Caenorhabditis elegans: one gene and its partners. The protein of the gene in region 3 purifies or fractionates together with the protein of the main gene of each other region. This does not show direct contact. Each region holds a gene or a part of one and is shown on either strand. Other genes may lie near its edges.

The links. The genes of interacting proteins can lie anywhere in the genome.
Region 1: the proteins of F54E12.2 (region 3) and ant-1.2 fractionate together in Caenorhabditis elegans (co-fractionation; one large-scale study listed by BioGRID). This does not show direct contact.
Region 2: the proteins of F54E12.2 (region 3) and top-1 fractionate together in Caenorhabditis elegans (co-fractionation; one large-scale study listed by BioGRID). This does not show direct contact.

What each region holds. Positions count from the first base shown.
Region 1 is NC_003279.8:6,729,095-6,733,600, forward strand, and holds ant-1.2 (ADP/ATP translocase), read right to left. Parts: upstream 1,866-4,506; coding exon 963-1,865; downstream 1-962. Other genes in the region: lbp-6 (Fatty acid-binding protein homolog 6), read right to left, coding at 66-272; lbp-5 (Fatty acid-binding protein homolog 5), read right to left, coding at 2,236-2,436, 2,966-3,175.
Region 2 is NC_003279.8:13,290,211-13,298,517, reverse strand, and holds top-1 (DNA topoisomerase 1), read right to left. Parts: upstream 6,007-8,307; 5' UTR 5,893-6,006; coding exon 5,494-5,892; intron 4,990-5,493; coding exon 4,774-4,989; intron 4,284-4,773; coding exon 2,802-4,283; intron 2,753-2,801; coding exon 2,510-2,752; intron 1,732-2,509; coding exon 1,651-1,731; 3' UTR 963-1,650; downstream 1-962. Other genes in the region: Protein sepa-1, read left to right, coding at 162-217. UniProt on the Caenorhabditis elegans protein: Releases the supercoiling and torsional tension of DNA introduced during the DNA replication and transcription by transiently cleaving and rejoining one strand of the DNA duplex.
Region 3 is NC_003282.8:11,332,217-11,339,225, forward strand, and holds F54E12.2 (Transcription termination factor 2), read right to left. Parts: upstream 4,649-7,009; 5' UTR 4,648-4,648; coding exon 4,579-4,647; intron 4,536-4,578; coding exon 3,984-4,535; intron 3,934-3,983; coding exon 3,209-3,933; intron 3,153-3,208; coding exon 2,151-3,152; intron 2,101-2,150; coding exon 1,988-2,100; intron 1,943-1,987; coding exon 1,597-1,942; intron 1,550-1,596; coding exon 1,238-1,549; intron 1,183-1,237; coding exon 1,026-1,182; 3' UTR 864-1,025; downstream 1-863. Other genes in the region: sart-3 (Spliceosome associated factor 3, U4/U6 recycling protein), read right to left, coding at 16-112, 154-322, 373-521, 572-655; his-55 (Histone H3), read right to left, coding at 5,637-6,047; his-56 (Histone H4), read left to right, coding at 6,306-6,617.

The DNA.
Region 1 (4,506 bases), on a different chromosome or scaffold from region 3:
ACCCACATTTTTTTTGATAACATTATTTTTGTCTTTTGTAAGTAAAAAACTTTGCACTTTCTTACCTGTCCCAACTTGAAAGAAAGAGTGGTGTTCTTGAATGTGGAGTATTGGTTGGAATACCACAAATCTCCTTCGACCTTGATTTCCAAAGTTGGCTTCAAGTTGGCAGCAGCCTTACGAGTGATCAATCCAACTCCAACCTCCTTCATGTACTCCTCGAAGTTCTCTGAGTGAATGAGCTTCCAGCGTCCAACGAATTCTTGAGACATGGTGATGGTTCTGTAAATAGAAGAAGTTGGAAAAGCAGGTAAAAAGTTCAATAGATTAACGGATATGTAATAGGTCTGAATAAAACGTTAGTCTGAAATTATGGTTAAAAAATCTTATTTTAAAAATTAATTTTAGAAGATGAACTATCATATCACTTGCAAATGGAAATAAAAGAAAAGTTGCAAATCAACAAGAAAACGAATGGCAATGCCTTGGGAAATCATTCGTATTTAGGTGGTCTGATAAATGGAATGATAGGGGGCAAGAGTGGGCGGAGATTCAAAACGTTTTCTCTATTTCTGTCTCCTCTATTTTTCGTTTCGTTTTTTTTTGAAGAATGATTCATTTTTTGATTCGTTGCATCATTTTTGAAAAATAAAAATAGAAAAGAGGAAAAGTGAGGAATTTTCAGTCGAATAAAAACAAAAATATTATCAAAAAAATTCTGAAATTTCTGAGGAGGAAAATATCGTTTTTGATTAAAGTATATCTAAGTTTTAATTTTTTTTAAATTTATTTTTTTTTGAGGTAAAAAACTAGTATCTTGTACATATATAGAAGCCCATTTTCAAATTGTGAAACTTAAACAATCTTCTTTTTTTTAAAATAAAGTAAAAATGCATTTTAAACAAAAAAATTTATTGGCAATGTTGTTTCAAAATTAACATATACATACTTTAATTCTGTAATTAAATTAAATGTTGAATCTCATCATAAATTGTGAGCACAAGAGCACCTCCAGTTGCTCGGAATACATTTGAAAGACCTCCTTTGTATAATGCAGTAATTCCTTCATTCTTCACAATCTTTCTAACACAATCCAAAGTGTTTTTATAGAGAATATCCTTTCTCCCTGATTGCATCATCATTCGACGACGTACTGTATCCCATGGATATGATAAATATCCAGAACCAACTGTTCCAACTTGAGCAATTGCCCATGTCGTAAAGAAATTGAGTTTTTGCCCGTCAGTTGAGTACAATGTTTTGGCAGTATCAAACATTCCGAAATATGCTGCACGATAAATTATAATTCCTTGTACTGAAACAAAAAATCCTCTATAAAGACCAATTGGTCCATCTGATTTCACAATTTTCACAAAACAATCCGTTAGACCTTGAAACTCTCTATCCACTCCTTTTCCAACATCGGCTCCAAGACGAGTACGCACAAAATCCAGTGGGTACACGAAGCATAGAGATGTTGCACCAGCTGCTCCACCAGAAGCGAGATTTCCAGCAAAGAATTTCCAGAATTCTTTATTCTTGTCAATTCCTTCTTGAAACATCTTCTTATAAGTGTCTTTGAATGCAAAATTCAGCGCTTGCGTTGGAAAATATCGAAGCACATTTGCAAGGTTTCCTCTCCAAAATGCTGCATATCCTTGTTCTTTTGGCACTCTAGCAAGAACATCCATAATTCCTTTATATTTTTTATCGGCAGTTACTGTTTCAGAGACATCACTGACTTGAAGTAGAAGCTTTACACGTTCAATTGGAGCAACGGCAGTTTTTGAGATTGCTGCAGCAGTGCCTCCGGAGGCGAGATCAACAAGAAACTTTCGATAATCAAATCCTTCCTTTGTGGTCATTTTGTCCTTCTGGAATGTTTTTTTTCAGAGATTATATTTCCTGAATGCTGATAATAAAACTTTCTTCAAATGCGAGTAGGAAGGAGCTCACTAGACTCTTCTCAAAATTTTGGTCATGAAAGTCTAATCAATATAAAGAATAAAATTAATTTAAAAAAAAAGAAAAATCTAAAACAAAAGTGTTTCTTTAAAAATTGTTGAAACTAATGAAAAATTTTACGGAAAATAAACAAGGCCTTTTTTAACAGAGACAGAGAAAAGAAAAGGGTTTCTGGTCCTTTAAAACGTCACTCTGCGTAAACAAAAACACTATTTTTCGCTATTTATTGCATCAAAGACCGAACAAAACAAGAACAATATTCAAAATAATCTATTCACGAATATAGGCACGACGAGAGATAACTGATCCAGATTGGAGAGTTGTGATGAGCTTTTCTCCTTCAAACCAACGAGTGATTACAGAATCATGATCTGAATCCTTAATCCTTTTTTGAACATGAACTACTTTTCCATCTTCAATTGTGATGGTTGACTTGAATTGACGACCGTCTGGTGTTGTCTCGTCGAATTCCTAAAAAACACTATTTTTTTAAATGGTAAATTATAACAGTCAATTTAAAAACTGAACTTTAATGGAATGAAAACCGGGAGTTGTTTTTCATGTAGCCGACACATTTAAAGATCGTAACTAATTCGAAAAAAAAATATTTTGTTAGATTTAATATGATTCTTTTTTTGATTTCAAATGTTCGTTTAGAGTTCGCAATTGAATTTTCCATAGACCTATTCTGAAAGACATAAACATTAGATTATTTCTTCATGCCACAAAGTGTATCTATGTTAATAGAACACCCGTTTGTTGTGTGTAGTGTTCAAATGGATACAAAGTTCAGTTGTTCTTTATTCTCATTTTTTTGTTTACACTGAAAACCACGTGTACCTTCCTGCACTTTGACCCACTAGTTTGAGTCTTATCAGTGTTTGCTAGAGTTTCGAGAAAGGCATTTGAAAGTTTTTAAATGGGAAAGAAAATAACTAACGAAAAAGCCATATAGTTGTTGAGTTCTATTCTCGTTTCCTTTTTTCAAAATTTCACTTACCACTCCCAGAGTGAACTCCAATGTGGTGTTCTTGAAGGTGCTAAGTTGATTGACATGCCACTTGTTTCCATTCACTTTGATCTCTAAAGTTGGTTTTGCAGCACACGCGGCTTTACGAAGAAGAAGACCAACCCCAACTTCTTTCAGGTAATCCTCGAAATTCTCGGATTCGACAAGCTTCCAACGACCCACAAATTGTTCAGCAGACATTCTGAAAATTTGGAAATTTACAATTTTGATAAAGAAGTACCAGAATAATAATAAAGGGAATTAAATGAAAAACGAATAAGTATTAAGAAATTCTGGATGATTTATTTCTGCTTTTAGAAAATTGCCTATGATTCTTTTGGATTCGTATTATTAAATTTATAGTTTCTAATGACAAAAATAAAAAATGTAATGCATTGCAATAAGGAATATTAATACAAAAAGCAGGAGAAAGTGGTTTAGATGAGTGAAAACCAGAAAAACGTATATATAGTAAATAGGACACAAGGGGGAGTGTACTGAAACTGCTGCCACGTTGTATTGGGTGATGGACAAGTTGGTCAATTTTTGGACGGTTTTGAACTGATAACATGGAATACACTAAGATGGAGTGTAGTATGTACATGGTGAATCACGATTAATAGTACTTTTTAAACTTTTGACATATAGTGTCGTTCAAAAGTAGATACAATGCGATCTCGTTTTTTTTTTTACAATTTTTGACATTTTTTTAATTGAGCATAACACCAAAACGCTACTTTTAACGTGGAAGAGATGGCGGGCAACAAGGTTAAACGATGGCCAATGTAGGTTTTCGATTAAAAAAATATTTTCCAGAACTATATGTCAAGATGTACCATAACGGATTGATCTACTATAAATGCGGGAATTTTTCGCAAGAAGCTTTTAAATATTTGAGTGTTTATACAGTATTTGTTATACAAAAAACAAAAAAAAATCAAAATTGTGACTTTTCTCTGACTTTACTGTGTCCGTTTATGTGTGAGTCAATCGAAAATGTTTGTTCAAGTTTTGAAACCGACTTATTTGACAACTATGACGTTGCGAAAACCAACATTAATTTAAAAAAATATTGGGGGACCACTGCTTTTCAGGGCACATTTTCAGTTTTCCCATACCTAGTTTTAGAAATATGATAACATTCACTGAAAATTTGGAAAGATGAGTGGAGTAAGGTAGAATTCACCAGAAAAACAGTTTGTATGTAGATATTTTGTATCGATTTCGTAGTTGATATAATCTTAGTGAGATTTGGAAAAAGAAGGAAATATAATTTCTACTTCAATTGAAAATTGGGTGTCTAAGTGGCATGACGAGACAATACAGCAGTAAATGGTAAACTGTAAAAGCCGCAATTAGTAAACAAAACCAGATTTTTTTCTCAAGTTTTCAAATCGAAACATCTCAACTTTACACAAATGTATTTCAATCAACAAAAGTATACCTCTTTTCATTTGAATGACCTCGATATGAGAGTGATACAATCTCCTCTCACCCTGTTTCTAAAAGAAGAGCGCTATTTATCTGACTGA
Region 2 (8,307 bases), on a different chromosome or scaffold from region 3:
GTTGCTATTAATTTTTTAATATGATAATTTGCTTTTAATAATTTTAAAAAAATTTGAAATAATTGAAGGCTAGCCTAAACTGACAAAAATGTCTCAACTCCTGTTATTCCCATTTTAAGAATTTTAAGATTAATGCTTCAAATATCGATATTTATTTTCAGACCAACAACCAACACAAAGCTCCGATGAACTTGCCAAAAATCACGAGAAAAACTAAATCAGTTCACATTCATTTTCTTTTATATCTCTTGCTTTTGCTTATATCCTGTAATGAATGCGTGCTTTATCCCAAATAAATATTAAATTGATAAGTATTTTTCTTTTAATTGCACCCGAATTTGGCGTTGGGCGAATCATTTTCGGAACAATGAAACCTTGAAGAAACATGTAACTAAAAAATCGTAATTCCAGTTGTAAATTTGCAAAACTAACTTTTTCGTTTTTCATCTTTTAAAAAAAAACTTTCATGTTCGTTTTTTAAATAATCCCAGCCCTGATCGGAATCACCTTCACAATAATAATCCTTTTAAAATATTGCCCGACCGGATTCCCCGGAAGAGCTATTCCAAAAATTGTTCACAATCGACACTCTCTTTCGAAAGATCGAAACTCCGAATTACCTTGGTAACTGGGTTAAAACCAAATTTGATAGAAAATGACGAGAAGGCCACTTAACGCGTGTACCGACAAAATGTGGGCGCGCGTACGGGACTATAAAACTGACACTGCGTGCGTCTGCTTCTATACAACCTTTGCAGCGGGTGAGATTGGCGCCCGGTTAGCTCAGTCGGTAGAGCACCAGACTCTTAATCTGGTTGTCGCGGGTTCGAGCCCCGCATTGGGCTTACGTTTTTGTTTTTTATTTCAGACTTTTTTATTTATGTCATGTCAGCATTTTAAGTCAGCATTTCGCCCTCTCACACTTATGAAATCAAAAACTGCAACCAAAAAAAAAACAATTTCTGAAAATGCAACGTTTATTATCATAATTTTCATGAAATCAAAATTAAATTCTTGAATCAGTCGATGTGTATGCGATTTTTAAATAAAACAGAAAAAAACAAGAAAGCGAGAGAAAGAGGGACGAGAATTCTTGGGACTAATCATGTGGGTAATGAAGAAAAAAAGACGAAATTGGGGCATTTTAAGGCTGAAAATAGCTAATTTCCAGTCTGAACATACCCAAAAGGAGGCTACACACGATATTTTAGAGCAATTGGAGCAAAATAAGAAGGTAATTCTAAAAAAATCTTAGGATTCTTTTTTTTTGAGATGATAGAATGGATTACATGTACTAGAAGAGTGGGGAGAAAGAAAACGTTAGACATGAAGAGCAAATAACTATAGAAACTTGGAAATTTCAAGATATTTAGAGATATTTGATTGAAATGGAGAAATAAGAGGAATAATAAATTATTAGTGATGAATAATTGGAATAGAAAATTTGATTTTTTTTGTTGGGTTTGTTGGTGAAGGTTAAAGATTTTTCAGAAAAAAAAAGAAAAAAAAAAAATAAACGAAATGATTAACAAAGGTGTGTGTAACAATCACAGTCGAGAGTCCGAGAAAAAACAAAAAAAGAAAGAGAAAATGGATCAGAAATTAAGGAAAAAAGTGCAGAAAAAAGAAAAAAAACGACTAAATTGACTTCTAGAAGACGTATTCCTCATCCGACGAGTTTGTCATGTCGATGGCCCAACGGAATTTCTCACGGTGAGTTTTGGTGAAGACCTGGAAATAAAATCGATTTTAATGGGGATCTAGAGTGTCGGTTTTTCTGAATTTATCGAAAAATAAAATTTGAATTTTGACCATTTGTCTTCTTATTTTTCCTCATTTATATGATCTTTCGGGTTTTTTTTCCCGAAAAATTTAACATTTTTCTGTTTTTTGATAAAAAATTTCGGAAAAAAGTGTTTTAGTACTGTGTACTACAGGGAATTGTGCATATTTTAAGGAGCGCTTCTCCTCATTAATCTCGTGTACTCCTAGAGGAAAACAATGCTTCATTTTAGACAATTTTCGCCAATTATTTCTGCATTCCACATTCAAATCTCCATTTTTATCGAATTTATTCAATTTCAGGTGGAATTTGGCGTTTTTATGATTGATTTTCTCAGAGAAACGTCATAAAAATTGATAAACTGATGATTTGAATGTTGATCCACCAAAAATCATTGGTTTTCCTCGAGGAGTACACGAGCAGCGTAAATCGACAAATGGTACTGTTTGGACAGTATTTTTGACGAAAAAATCACAAAATACCGCATCTCTTCAAAAACACGACATTGTGTCGATTTACGGAGGTCATATACTCTACGAGGAGAGTGTGCATTCAGTTTTTGGATAAATTTTGCAGTTTTCAATGCCTAATTTATGTTCCAAAACGAAGTATTTTCGACAAAAACTGTGTAGCCACACTCTTCCTCGTGGAGTACACGAGCTGCGTAAATCGACACAGTTTGTCCATTTTCCCCCGTGAATTCATTTCTCCGAAACTATCTCTCACCTTCTCCAACGGAACCTCAAACTTCTTGCACCAGGCGACAGTGATCCGAGGATCAATATAATTGAGTTTCGAAGTACCCAACGCGATCTGTTTGTTCTCATCCTTATCAGTTCTTGAGATTTTCAACTTTTTCAACTGCTCCTTCAGTCTGTCGTACTTCTTCTGGGCCTTCTCCTTTTCTGCTCCGCGAGCAGACTTCAGCGCGGCTTCGGCTTCCTTCACCTCCTTCTTTTTGTCCTTGATCTGGAAAAAAAACGAGATTAGTGAATAAATTTCATATTTTTTTCGCAACCTTTTGCTCCAACTTTTGCATCGACTCATCGAATCCCTTCGAAACGGCACGTTGATGGTTACAAAGGATCGCAACCTGCCGATTAGCACGATTGTATGACAGAATTTTTGCCGCCACATTGTCCTTGGGATTCGTCAGCTTTATCAGTTGCTCTTGAAGTGTGATCGAAGCATTATAGGTACGGAACACTTTTACCGTCAAACCATCCATCAAACTTCTCAAATGATCATTGAGTGTTGCAGTGTCGAGACGATCGAAAAGATCATCACTCGGAGCTTTTCCCTCCATGAATATCTTCAAATTCTTGTAGACTCGCTTCTCAACAGAAACTCGATTGAAATAACGAATCGAATCCTTTCCAAGAAAATCGAATTCCACAACAAACTCCTTTTCCTTCTTATCATCTTCATTCAGTTTCGCCGAATCGAAGAGCTTAATGTGCTCAACACGAAGTGAGCAACAACCAACAGTATCAGCAGCTTCATCTACATCCTTCTCATTTCCAGCACGAAGAGCCAACTTATCAATAAAATACAAAGCCGTAGCACGTTGTCGAACTCTCATCTCCTTCGACTTAAAATCGTCAGTATACCGCTCACGAATTCCACCAATCTTCTTTTTAAGTCGCCGCGCTGTTTCGTACTTTTCAAAGTCCTTTTCTCCTTTAATCTTTGAAGATGGATTAAGCATAATGTACTTATTCTGTCCGAGCACACTTTCAGTCCAAGAGCACAGCCACGTAACAGTATTGTCATGTCTCACTTCTTTCCATTTGTGCCCAGGTGGTGGTTTTGGAATTTCAGTGTCTTTTCCGCAATTTATGATGACATCCTCTGGCATGATACGCTTCTTGATAAGACCCATCTTCGGATGTCCACCTCTTCCACGGAACACTCCTGGAGGTTCAATTCGGAAATTTGCAACCTTTTGCCGATGACCATCAATTATTGCAATTCCATAAATCTTCACTTCCGCTTCCTTCTCCTCTTTAATCTTCAACTTTTCCTCTTTAGTCATCGCTTTGCGAATTTCCCGTTGCTCTTTTTGATAAGCATCGATAGCTCGAAAATCGCACTTTTTCAGATCATGTATACGTTCACGTTCCTCGACAGTCATCACTTTTCTCCAATCTTTCATAAAATTCTTGTTGAAAGCCTCTTTTGTCGAATACTCGTGATCCAGTACACCAGCATAAAATTGAGCAATTTCTTCCGTTTCAAGAGTCAGCTTCATCTTCTCTCCACCATATTTGAAATGAACATGAGATGGAAGTGGAATGTATGGTGGAGCGAATAGTGGTCCACAGTGTTGAAGGGAATTCCATTTAACACCTGCAGGCTTCTTTTCCTCTTTCCACCATTCCCATATATCTTCTATATCCTCCTCTTTCTTCACTTTCTTCTTTGGTGGCTCTTTTTTGCCGCCGGCGTCTTTCTTTGATGTACTTGGCTTGCTCTTTTCAGCTCCTTTTGACTTTCGTTTCTGCAAAAATAAATGATAAAATTATGATTCGTGCAAATTTAATTATTTAAAGTATCTCGTAGAAGGTTAGAAAACAGTTTTTGATTTTTTTTTTGAGAAAATATATTACTGGTGGGTAATTCAGGTTAGACGGAAGTGGTTTTTTTTGGATTAACTTTTAATTTTTTCGATTACATTAAAATTTCCGGAGCAGCATGTAATGTCGATTTACGCAGGCATCGTGTTCAATTTTTTGAGCAAAAAATCGTAAAATTTCCGATTTTTAGCCTAAAAATGATTAAACACCCAATTTTTCAGAAGAATTTGGCATAAAGTCTAAATATCCGAGAACTTCAGCTAAAAAACTAAATAAATTTAAATTCACACTTTTCCTCGTGTAGTACACAATTTCTGCGTAAACCGACACCATTTTTAGCTTGCAAATTAGTTTTTTGTGCAAAAAAAAGCGGGAAAAAGCATGCAAAATCAGGAAAATCCACATCAACAACACCTTTTTCTTCGCCTTTTCATCATCTTCATCATCCGAATCCTCGTCGTCCTCTTCCTTAATCTTCCGATTCTCCTTCTCCAGTCGTTTCTTCTCTTTTCGCTCTTTTTTCTCCCTTTTTTCCTTTTTTCTACGCTCTTTCTCCTTTCTCTTCTGTTCCTCTTCATCATCTGTCGTCGGAGCTTCGTCTTCTTCTTCTAGTTCATCGTCGGAATGGATCTAAAAAAGCAGAAAAAAACTAACGAAACAAAGGAAATGTTAAGGACGTGCAGAAAAGTAGGGTTAGAAGGGTTATTTTTCGCTAAATTCCATCTAAAATATGCTTATTAACACATATTATTACTATCTAATTGAAAATCTTGTAGAAATGCTGGTTCTTGCTCACATCGGTTTCACAAGGAATATGTACATCCAAACAATTCAAAATTGCGAGAAAATACCTAAATTTCAGCAATTTTAATGTAAAAATAGCAGAATTTTACGTATTTCTTGCATTTTTCAACTGTTTTGAGTTCACATAATCTTATAAAGCGAATAATTCTCTCTGCAACAAAGAAAATGGGAACTAGCTAATTTTTTTTCGTGGAGCAACTTTAAAACCAAATTTTGTGTTGAAAAACATAATTTGGATGAAATTTAGCAAAAAAAAAGTGAATTTTCATCGCCAAAAACCCGTGCAAATAGGTTATTTTGGAGGAAAAAATGTTATTAATTGCTACAAACCTGTGGCTTAACATCCTCTTCACTAACATCTCCTTCTGATTCTTCATCATCATCCTCACTACTCTCCTGAGCTTTTTTCTTATTATTTTTCTTGCTTTTCTTCTTTTCAGGCTTATAATCATCCTCAGAATCACTTCCAACATCCTTCTTTTTCCCATTTTTCGCCGAAGACTTTCTCTTCTCGGGCTTATAATCATCCTCATCTGATCCACTTTCAGCTTTCCTCTTCTTTTGTTTCTTTTCTTTTTTATCTCTTTTCATCAGTTCACCGAATGGAACTTCACTGTCTGATGCCATTGGCTCATCTTTCACCTCTTTTTTGATTTCATCGTTTCCGTTCGTATCGTAGACTGTTGAGTTGCCGTTTCCGTTCGAGTGATGATTCGACACTACACTCATCGTTTGAGCAAGTTTCTGATGATCCACGAGAGCTCTTTTGATTGATAAGATATCTTCGTAGAAGCTGTCGAATCAAATAGATGGAGTGTGTGAGTGTCGGAGAGATGATACTCTGCAAACATTTAAATGAGGAATTTTGAAAGAAATTGTGAAAAGGAAAGAGTATTTAGAGGTAAGAGAGACATATAGTAAGAAAATATCTCAAAAATTGATTCAATTTAGCTTAAACTTGAGCTTGTTACGATTGGAAAATTATTTTAATTTTATTACTACATAGAAGTTAAATTTTGCGCCAAAAAATACGGCGCCCGGATCCGACAAATTGCGCATTTAAAGAGTACTGTAATTTAAAACTCTCGTTGATTGTGGAATTTTCATCGATTTTGTTAAAGTTTTTCACGATTTGTTAAAATTCATGATTTTTTTGCTAATTTTTTTCGTAAATTTTGCGATTTTTCAGATCTTAATATATATTTTCAGAAATTTTCAAGCTGCCTCGTAATAAAATCTACTTTTTCAGGCTTAATTTGAACCTTTTCGGATATATTTTTCAAAAATCGACTTCGCCGAGAAAATTGATTCACTTAGCTCAAGATTCTAATCTTGACAAATTAGCAAAATAAATAAAACTTTAGATTTTTATCGCTCACAGTTGCTATATTAATGGCCAACGGAACGACGACCTTACGCACGCCGCGGCGGGTCCCACCACGAAATTTCACCAAGTCTTTTAGAATCGACTTTTGTGTGGTGAAACTTTCGTGGTAGGACCCGCCAGTGAGAACGATGATGGAGGACATTATGAATAAGAGTGTGTAAAACTAGTTGTTGTATGGTTAAAGTAGTGGATGCGATATAATAAGAGAGGCGAAGGATTGTAAAGTAATAGTGGAAAACAAATGAACATGATTGAAGAATTGGAGAAAATACGCAGAAATTGCAGGATTTCGAGGGAAAAAAAAGGTAAAATAGTTTTTTTTCTCGATTTAGAGTCAAAACACCAACATAATGTTTATGAATATCGGTTCTTTTTAATTTTGGTCCTATTTCAGCAGCAAAATCTGTAGAAACTTGGAGCTTATAAACAGAAAATATACCTACATCAGCAAAAAAACTATCGAAAAAATCCAAAAAGTTCTAGAAATCTCAAAAAATACATACGAATTAAGTCGCTCCGACACGGGCAAATTGATAAATTTTGAAAATTTCAACTACACATAGCCTTTTTTCTCAAATATTCATTTAAATTTGATACTTTGGGGGCATTTTGAGACAGAAATTCCAGCAAACTGAAGGGTTATATTCGTAAAACTCGGAACATTTCAGATTCGTCAAATCTACGAAAACCGAGGCCAGAAAATAACATCTCCTAATATTAAAAATTGACTTTTGACACCAACTAAATCATCATTTTTCAAATCAATAATTCTCAAAGTCCCTCAAAAAATACTCATCCAACTTTCTTCCATCTACTGAATCCATCCTCCTAGCACGAAGGTCATCTGCACTATTTACACCCGGTGTGCACTTTCCGTCGCCTGCTCCCTTCTCTCTCACGGGCGGCATCATATCTCTCGCTTCTCTGCGTCACTTTGGCGCCCGGTGCCCGCGAATGATGTATGTGCTCCTTGTGCCATAAGAGGGCTGATTTAAGATCTGAGCAGAGGGAGAAAGAGAGAGAGGAAACGACCACGCAAAAGCTAGAATCTCTAATTCAACACGGCTTCTGATTGCTCAATGATTCATCAAAAGAGGGAGCAGGGTTCAATTTTGCTGTTCAAGGCCGGAGATTCGAGTTTTGCAGCTGCAATGGCGATTTTTTGAACGAGAAAACCACAGTGAACCCCTTAAAATTTTTTTATCCACAGAAGAAACTAGTATATGCCCGAAATTCGAAGAAAAATATTCAAAAAAAAGCACATGGATTCGCAATTTTAATTCTTTCGAGGTAGAATCACAAAAAATATGTTTTTTTTTTCAGAAAAAAAAATGTTTAAAAAGTATGCCTCTGTATTTATGAAATTAGCGAAAATACTTGAACCTGTCTAGTCTGAATTGTTTGCTGTGTCATCTTGACCCAAGTGCACACACACACTCGTACAGTGGCGAATCAATGAGAATGACATACTTTTGAATTTAAAAAGATGAAATATGTAGATTATAACACCAGAAGACGAAGAGTTAAACCGAAAATGAGGAAAGGAACACAAATTCATATTTAAAAAATGAGGTATTTTACGATTAAATAAGTAATTCGCTTCAAATAGGTTTTCAAGAATCTTAGAAATATATTGCTCCACATACCGCGTTCTCACTGTGCTAAATTTCATCATAATTAATAATTAACACAAAACACAAAAATTACGCGGTTTTTGGGTAAATTTGTACATTTCGGCATCAAAATCGCACCAGAAA
Region 3 (7,009 bases):
CAGTAGTAAGCTCACTTTTCAGGTAGCTCATTTCATATTCCAGAAAAATCAGCCAAATGTGCCCTCCAGAATCGTACCGAGTTCCAAGGTTTTCAAGAGCTTTGCTACAAACCTGTAAAATTATAATAATTACATTTTTCAATCAAAACTTACATCTCGGCAAAACTTGAAATCCTCTTTTTTGTTTTTGTCGTTCGCAACCTTATATGCGTACATTGCTCTTTCGACCCAAATAGTGACATCGTTCTCATCAAACAGAGCTTTTTCAAACATTTCCTCGACTTCTGCGACACTTGGCTCCGGTTTTCTGTTTTGAAAATCTCTGAAATCAGTTTTTAAAAAATTATAATTAACCTATTTTTTTTAACTTACTCAATCCAGTTTTTCCAATTTAATGGATTAAGTGGGGCCCATTCGACAAATTGCCTCCTTTTGATATCAAGCTCGTCGAAGTCACCATTTTTTCGCAATAAAATCAATAATTGGTTTGCAAGAACGACACTTTGACTATCGTCGATCATCTGAAATTGTATTTTGTGTATATGAAGTATATTCGATAATTAGTTCATACCTTTTGCTTGATTTTTTGAATTTCTTCATCCAGATCCTCCATTCCGGAATCATCCGAGCCGGATTCCATATCCACATCGGACATCTTGCAGAATTTTGATGGAAACTGATACAAAAACAATAAATATTAAAATAAGAGAGAAACAGTGCAGAAAAAGCACGGAAATAACGTTTCGAATGCAAAAGTGCGATAGAGCGCGAAAGAAACGGATTTTTTAGAAGAAAAAATATTTTCTCTCCGTATTAAAATATAGTTAGCCAGAATCAAACTGATAAAAAAACAACAAAAAATTCAAATCCATGCAAGCTTTATAGAAATAATCACGGGTAATACTTATGCAATAAATAAAATTTTGCAATCCATAAGCTGAATGAATATTTACAACAGAAATGAAATGTGTGCGGGTGAGGAATGATAATATTGTACATAAAGGCTGGAATAATAGTTTTGAAGATTATTTTTCATTCAATCCGAACAGCATCTTGATATCTGCCGTCGTCAATTTGTTCATCTTGCGAGTAGCATTTCCGTCGAGAACAGACGAAGCTAGCGCGACTTTGTCCTTTTGCAGCATTACAACTCGTTGTTCGATCGTTCCTTTCGTAACCAATCTGCAAGATTAACACACATATTATGAATTTAATTTTCTTGCCGCAATCAACGAACCTATGAATGAAAACATCCTTCTTCTGCCCCATTCGATAAATTCTATCGAAAGCTTGCTGTTCGAGAGCCGGATTCCAATGCAAATCCACCATCACTAAATGATTTCCACCTGTCAGATTGAGCCCAACACCTCCCGCGGCCAGAGAGAGAAGCATAACTCGAGCACCACCTTTCTCCCGATTAAAGCTGTCCACTCTCTCTTGACGATCCTTGACCAGAACTTGTCCGGTAATTGATGTATATTTGAAACCACTTGATTTTATGTGAATTTCGATCAAATTGAGAACCGATGTCCATTGAGAAACAATGACACTGAAAAACATAAATTTGAATTTATTTTCAACTTGGTGAAAACATACACTTTCTCTTTCTTCTCCATAATGTTCTCAACAATTTCAAGTGTATTTTTAATTTTACAGCTCAGGTAGTCCGGATCGAAAATTCGTGTTGTAGCCCTCGGTTTGTCTCTTTCTTCATTGTCACCATTTCCCAACGTCATGTTCATAGTTTTCTCCAGTAACTCATTCAAATCGTCCACATTCGCTTCCTCCGCATTGTCTCCACCGATTAAGCTGAAAGCGTCCATGTCGACTCCTGTTTTTGTGATATTGAAATGAACACAAGCTTGTCGAAGACGAAGAAGAAGCATCAAAACACATGACATCTTTTCGAAGTTCGAGCCGGCTGCCAAATCACGTGGACCAACTGAAAATATTCAATATTAATTTTTTAAACATCACAGATTCTTACAATTGAAAGGATTCTGAACTTCTCCTTCCTTTCCTGCTCTTCTATTGCGACGAGGAATAAATCCATGATTTTTCATATCATTGGAATCTTGCAGAAGTTTTTTGACGAATTTTCTGAAAATTTGTTTTATGATTTTCGCCAATGTTACAAGTGAGTCACTCACTTGGCAGCCTCCATCATAATCTCATAAGCCTGTGCTTCATCTCCGTCCAACTCCAATTCGTGGACTTCTACATTTTTCGGTGGTAACTGAACTAGTTTCTGGTTTGTCACAGCACATGTTTGATCCTTTGTACGACGAAGAAGCAGGTTCTTTGTGAGCAAATTTACGCGATCAGCCATTATTGGTTTCATTGGCATGATCGATTCTTTCCAATATTTATCGTCACTGAATGGACGAATACGCAAGAATCGAACGAGACTGTAAAGATCCCAGAGATTGTTATGGATCGGAGTTCCAGAAAGGCACCATCGAGAGAATGCTGATAAACGACAGACAGCTTTCGAAGCAAGAGACTGCCGATTTTTGATGGTATGCGCCTCGTCAAGAATGACTCGAGACCAACAGATCTGAGCAAGAACGGAGTCGTCTTTTCCAACTGCTCTACGAATTCCAGTATGATTTGAATCCGATTCACCGTCAGATGAATCATCTGCTTTTGATTTAGTCCTTATTTTTTCGATTAATTCATTTGCGATAAGATTGAACGTGGTGATGACGACATCGTATCGAGCAAGACGTCTTGCATCGATGTCCCTCTGCTTTTTTGTGCCATGAAACATGTATGTCGATAGAACGCTGTCATCTAGTCTTCTATCGATTTCAGCATCCCATTGATGAATCAAACTTGCAGGAGCAACAATCAATGTTCCATTCGACGGAATTAGTCCTTGCTCTTTTACCACTTTACGTTTTTCTTTGTCTTTATCGTCATTTCCATCTTCTCTGCGAGCTCTACGAGCAGCTTTTTGATGGGCGATGAGAGAAATCATCGAAAGCGTCTTTCCTAAACCCATATCATCCGCAAGAATTCCACCAGGCTGTGGTTGAGTTTCTCTCCAACGCATCCAGGTTAGGCCTGCCTTTTGATGTGGCATCAGTTCAAGTTTGAATCCTTTCGGAGTGTCCGTGAGCTCAGTTTCATCGGGGATTGTGTGAGTGGCCCTGAAAGAGGATACACATTTTCACACAGCTTCGAGAAAAAGTTAAACAAGACTTACTCAGCAAGTTGTCGAACTACTCGATCAGAAACGAGTTGTATGCGTTTGTATTTTTCATCGGTCATCTTTCCAGACATCATTTTCTTGTTGTCCTTCTCCAACATGGCATTGAAGTCTGGCTGAGGAGCTTTGAGAGGATCCACGATATGTCTTTTTGGCAACAAACCATTTTGAGTCATGACAGATCCGGAAGGGAACTTTGGAGCCACCTGTCGATGACTCGGTTCATCATCTTCAATCACGAAGATTTCATCATCCTCATCATCGTCGACGATCTCTTCAGCAAGTCCCATTTCTTTTCTTCTCTCCACTTCATCATCAAGCTCTTGAAATTGTTTAATTACCCGTCTGCCACCATCAGGTAGATCTAATGATAACGAAATTAATCCCATAACTTTATTCTTTTTCGCCAAAAGCTCTTTGTAGGAAAGCTTCGCGTACTCCGAGTTAATTGGCGAAGTTGGCAGTCGTGGACGTTGTGGCTCTGGTGGTCTCGATGAAGTTGTTTTTACTGGTGTTACATCAATAATGTCGCTATCATCCAAGTTAATGGCAATCCCTGATTTCCGTTTTTCATTCGAAACAACTTTCTCTGGAGTCACTTCGATAATGTCACTATCATCTTGTTTAGCCGTTGTTCGAGGTGCAGGAAATGATTCATCAACTATTTCTTCTCTTCCGCCAATATCGTTTATTGCCGTGGAAGTAGCTACTTTCTGGACATTCTGAAATTTATTATATTAATCGCCAATATGAAATTGAATTCAAACACTACCAAAAATGTGCTCGAGTTATATTCTGATGAACGGCGATCACTTTTAGCAATAGGAGAAAGAGCTGTTTCAAAAAGTCCAGTGGAAACTTCTGGTGATTTCTTGACGTCAGCAGACGATCCCCATCCACCTCCAGATGCAGCTCTCGTTGGCGAACTATCCTCGGCATTTTGCTTCAATGATTTGCGGAGGAGACGTTCACGAAGCTGAGCTTTTGATCGCAGATCAGTGGATTCCGCCAGTTTTTTGCTGATTGGAGTCAGTGGCTTGTTCTCGTCATATTGTACAAAACTCCGACTGCGATCATGGCTCTCGTGGTTTTGCGAGGAGCTTCTGGAACTTCCATATGAAGAACCGAGTCTCGTTGAAGCATTCGATTTGGATTTTGGCGTCGAAGTGGCGAAGCTATTTGTGCAATGCGATGCTGTTGAAGATGGTGTATTGACAATAGGCGAATTTACAGATTTCATCGACTCATCGACAACTGAATCTTCCTGGTCGTCACTTTCTTTTGACTGGCGTTGAGGACTGGATCGGCAGATGAAGTCATCGATCTGAAATTAGTCCTCAGTTAACGTTTTAAAAATAAAAACCCACTTTCTCATCTGATTGAGAATCGTCTGAAGATGTATCAAACATTATTCTTGTTCGACGTGGCGAACTCATCCTGAAAGAAATCAGAATTAAAATTACTTTTACAATATATATCTAGTAAAGAAACAAACGGTCACGAATTTAGTCCAACTTTGAAAAGAATATGTACTCAGAACTCAACGTTTGAAAATGGCGGTGAAATTGGAACACAAATGGCCGAGGAAAACTAACATTTTCTGCCACATAAAATGAAGATATTTGTTTCAAAACAGAAAACGGTATCGCAGATGCGTTAATAATTAAAATAAACATTCAAATTTACCATGTTTGAACTAATTTTGATCAAGAATTTGTTTGAAAATAGAAAAATACAAGAGCGTTTCAAGCAAGAGCACGAGAGAGAGACAAATAATTTTTTCGCGCGCGCGCGCCGTGAATAACAAACGTGGTACTGTAATCGTTGCGAGACCTCCGACTCCAATAGCATAATGTTCCTACATGTTTTTCACTGGAACATTTTATTTTTAATTTAAATTAAATAAATAAATAATTAATATTAAATCGCAATTTTACGCTGAATGAAAATAATACGGAAGTTTTTATCAGATCATCAATTTTAATTCATACTTTGGGCTCGAGTTATTTCCCAAATTGTGATTGAACAGGTTTCGTATCTGAATCCTGCAACTTTCAGTACATCAGATACGATTTTCAAGCAGCGACACCTCAGTTTATGGATCCTGAATGTGCCTTTCATAAATTTCATAATACTATTTCAATAATAAATTCATAATACTAATGTAATACTAATTTCATAATACTAATGTATAGAGGCGCATTAAAACAAATAAGTATTGGGCCGAAACCTTTTTTATAAATCTGCGAACTTCTGACGAATTTGTAGTTCGGTTCTCCGGGCCTTCAAAATGATACAAAAAACAAATAAAGAAAACAATTTTATTTTACACAAGGACTGGATTTATGCATTTGTGGCCCTAAAGAGGGCCGTTGGGTTCGGTTAAGTTTTGAGATTAAGCTTGCTCAACTACCAAAAAAGGTATTTAAGCGCGCTCTCCTCGGATGCGTCTGGCCAATTGGATATCCTTTGGCATGATGGTGACTCGCTTAGCGTGGATGGCACACAAGTTGGTGTCCTCGAAGAGTCCGACAAGGTAAGCCTCGGCAGCCTCCTGAAGAGCCATGACAGCGGAAGATTGGAATCGAAGATCGGTCTTGAAATCCTGAGCAATCTCACGAACAAGGCGCTGGAATGGTGCTCTGCGGATTAGAAGTTCGGTTGATTTCTGGTAACGTCTGATCTCACGAAGAGCGACGGTTCCTGGGCGATAACGATGTGGTTTCTTGACTCCTCCGGAAGCTGGAGCCGATTTGCGGGCAGCTTTGGTGGCCAATTGCTTTCTTGGAGCCTTTCCTCCGGTCGATTTACGGGCGGTTTGCTTGGTACGAGCCATTGCGTTTAGGTTGATAATCCGTGGGGACTGTAAAAAAGAGAAACCAACGACTGACTTTGTACGCAGCTGCGGTGGGAGGGCGGGCGGGCGCACTTCTGTCCTTGTGGCAATTAGAACATTCGGTGTGTTACAGACAAAGGAAAGGTGTCCTCGCAGAGTGGTGCAATGTGACTCCGCCTAGCCACCACAGCTGTGTACAAAAGGAATACTGTGATGTCATTTCTTCATCTCACTTGTGAGTCTTCAACGAATTCAACAATGTCCGGACGTGGAAAGGGAGGAAAAGGCCTTGGAAAAGGTGGTGCCAAGCGCCATCGCAAAGTTCTCCGTGATAACATCCAAGGTATCACCAAGCCAGCCATTCGCCGTCTCGCCAGAAGAGGAGGAGTCAAGAGAATCTCCGGATTGATCTACGAGGAAACCCGTGGAGTCTTGAAGGTGTTCCTTGAGAACGTCATCCGTGATGCTGTCACCTACTGCGAGCACGCCAAGAGAAAGACCGTCACCGCCATGGACGTCGTCTACGCTCTGAAGCGCCAAGGAAGAACTCTGTACGGATTCGGAGGATAATTATTATCTTTTCTGTTTTCATACAAACCAAATACCGAACCCAACGGCCCTCTTTAGGGCCACAAATATCCAAAATCCTAATTGATCTCGTTAAATAAATCTTAAATAATTTTGATTTTTCTATTTTAGCATTTTCAAATACAAGTTGACATGATATTTTCTTTATTGCTTTGCACAACTACATACTTTTTTTAAATTTAAAATTAGAATTGCATGCAAGTAGACATTCGGTATTCGATTTTCTTCGTTCGTTCTCAATTTTATTTACAAAAGGGTATATGAAAGTCTGCACAGTTTTGTTTCCCGAACCATATGAATTCACTTTATAATTCAAGTTGGTGATCGAAATGATTTAGATATCCAAGAACATGAAGCGGAAGAAAGCTTGAAGC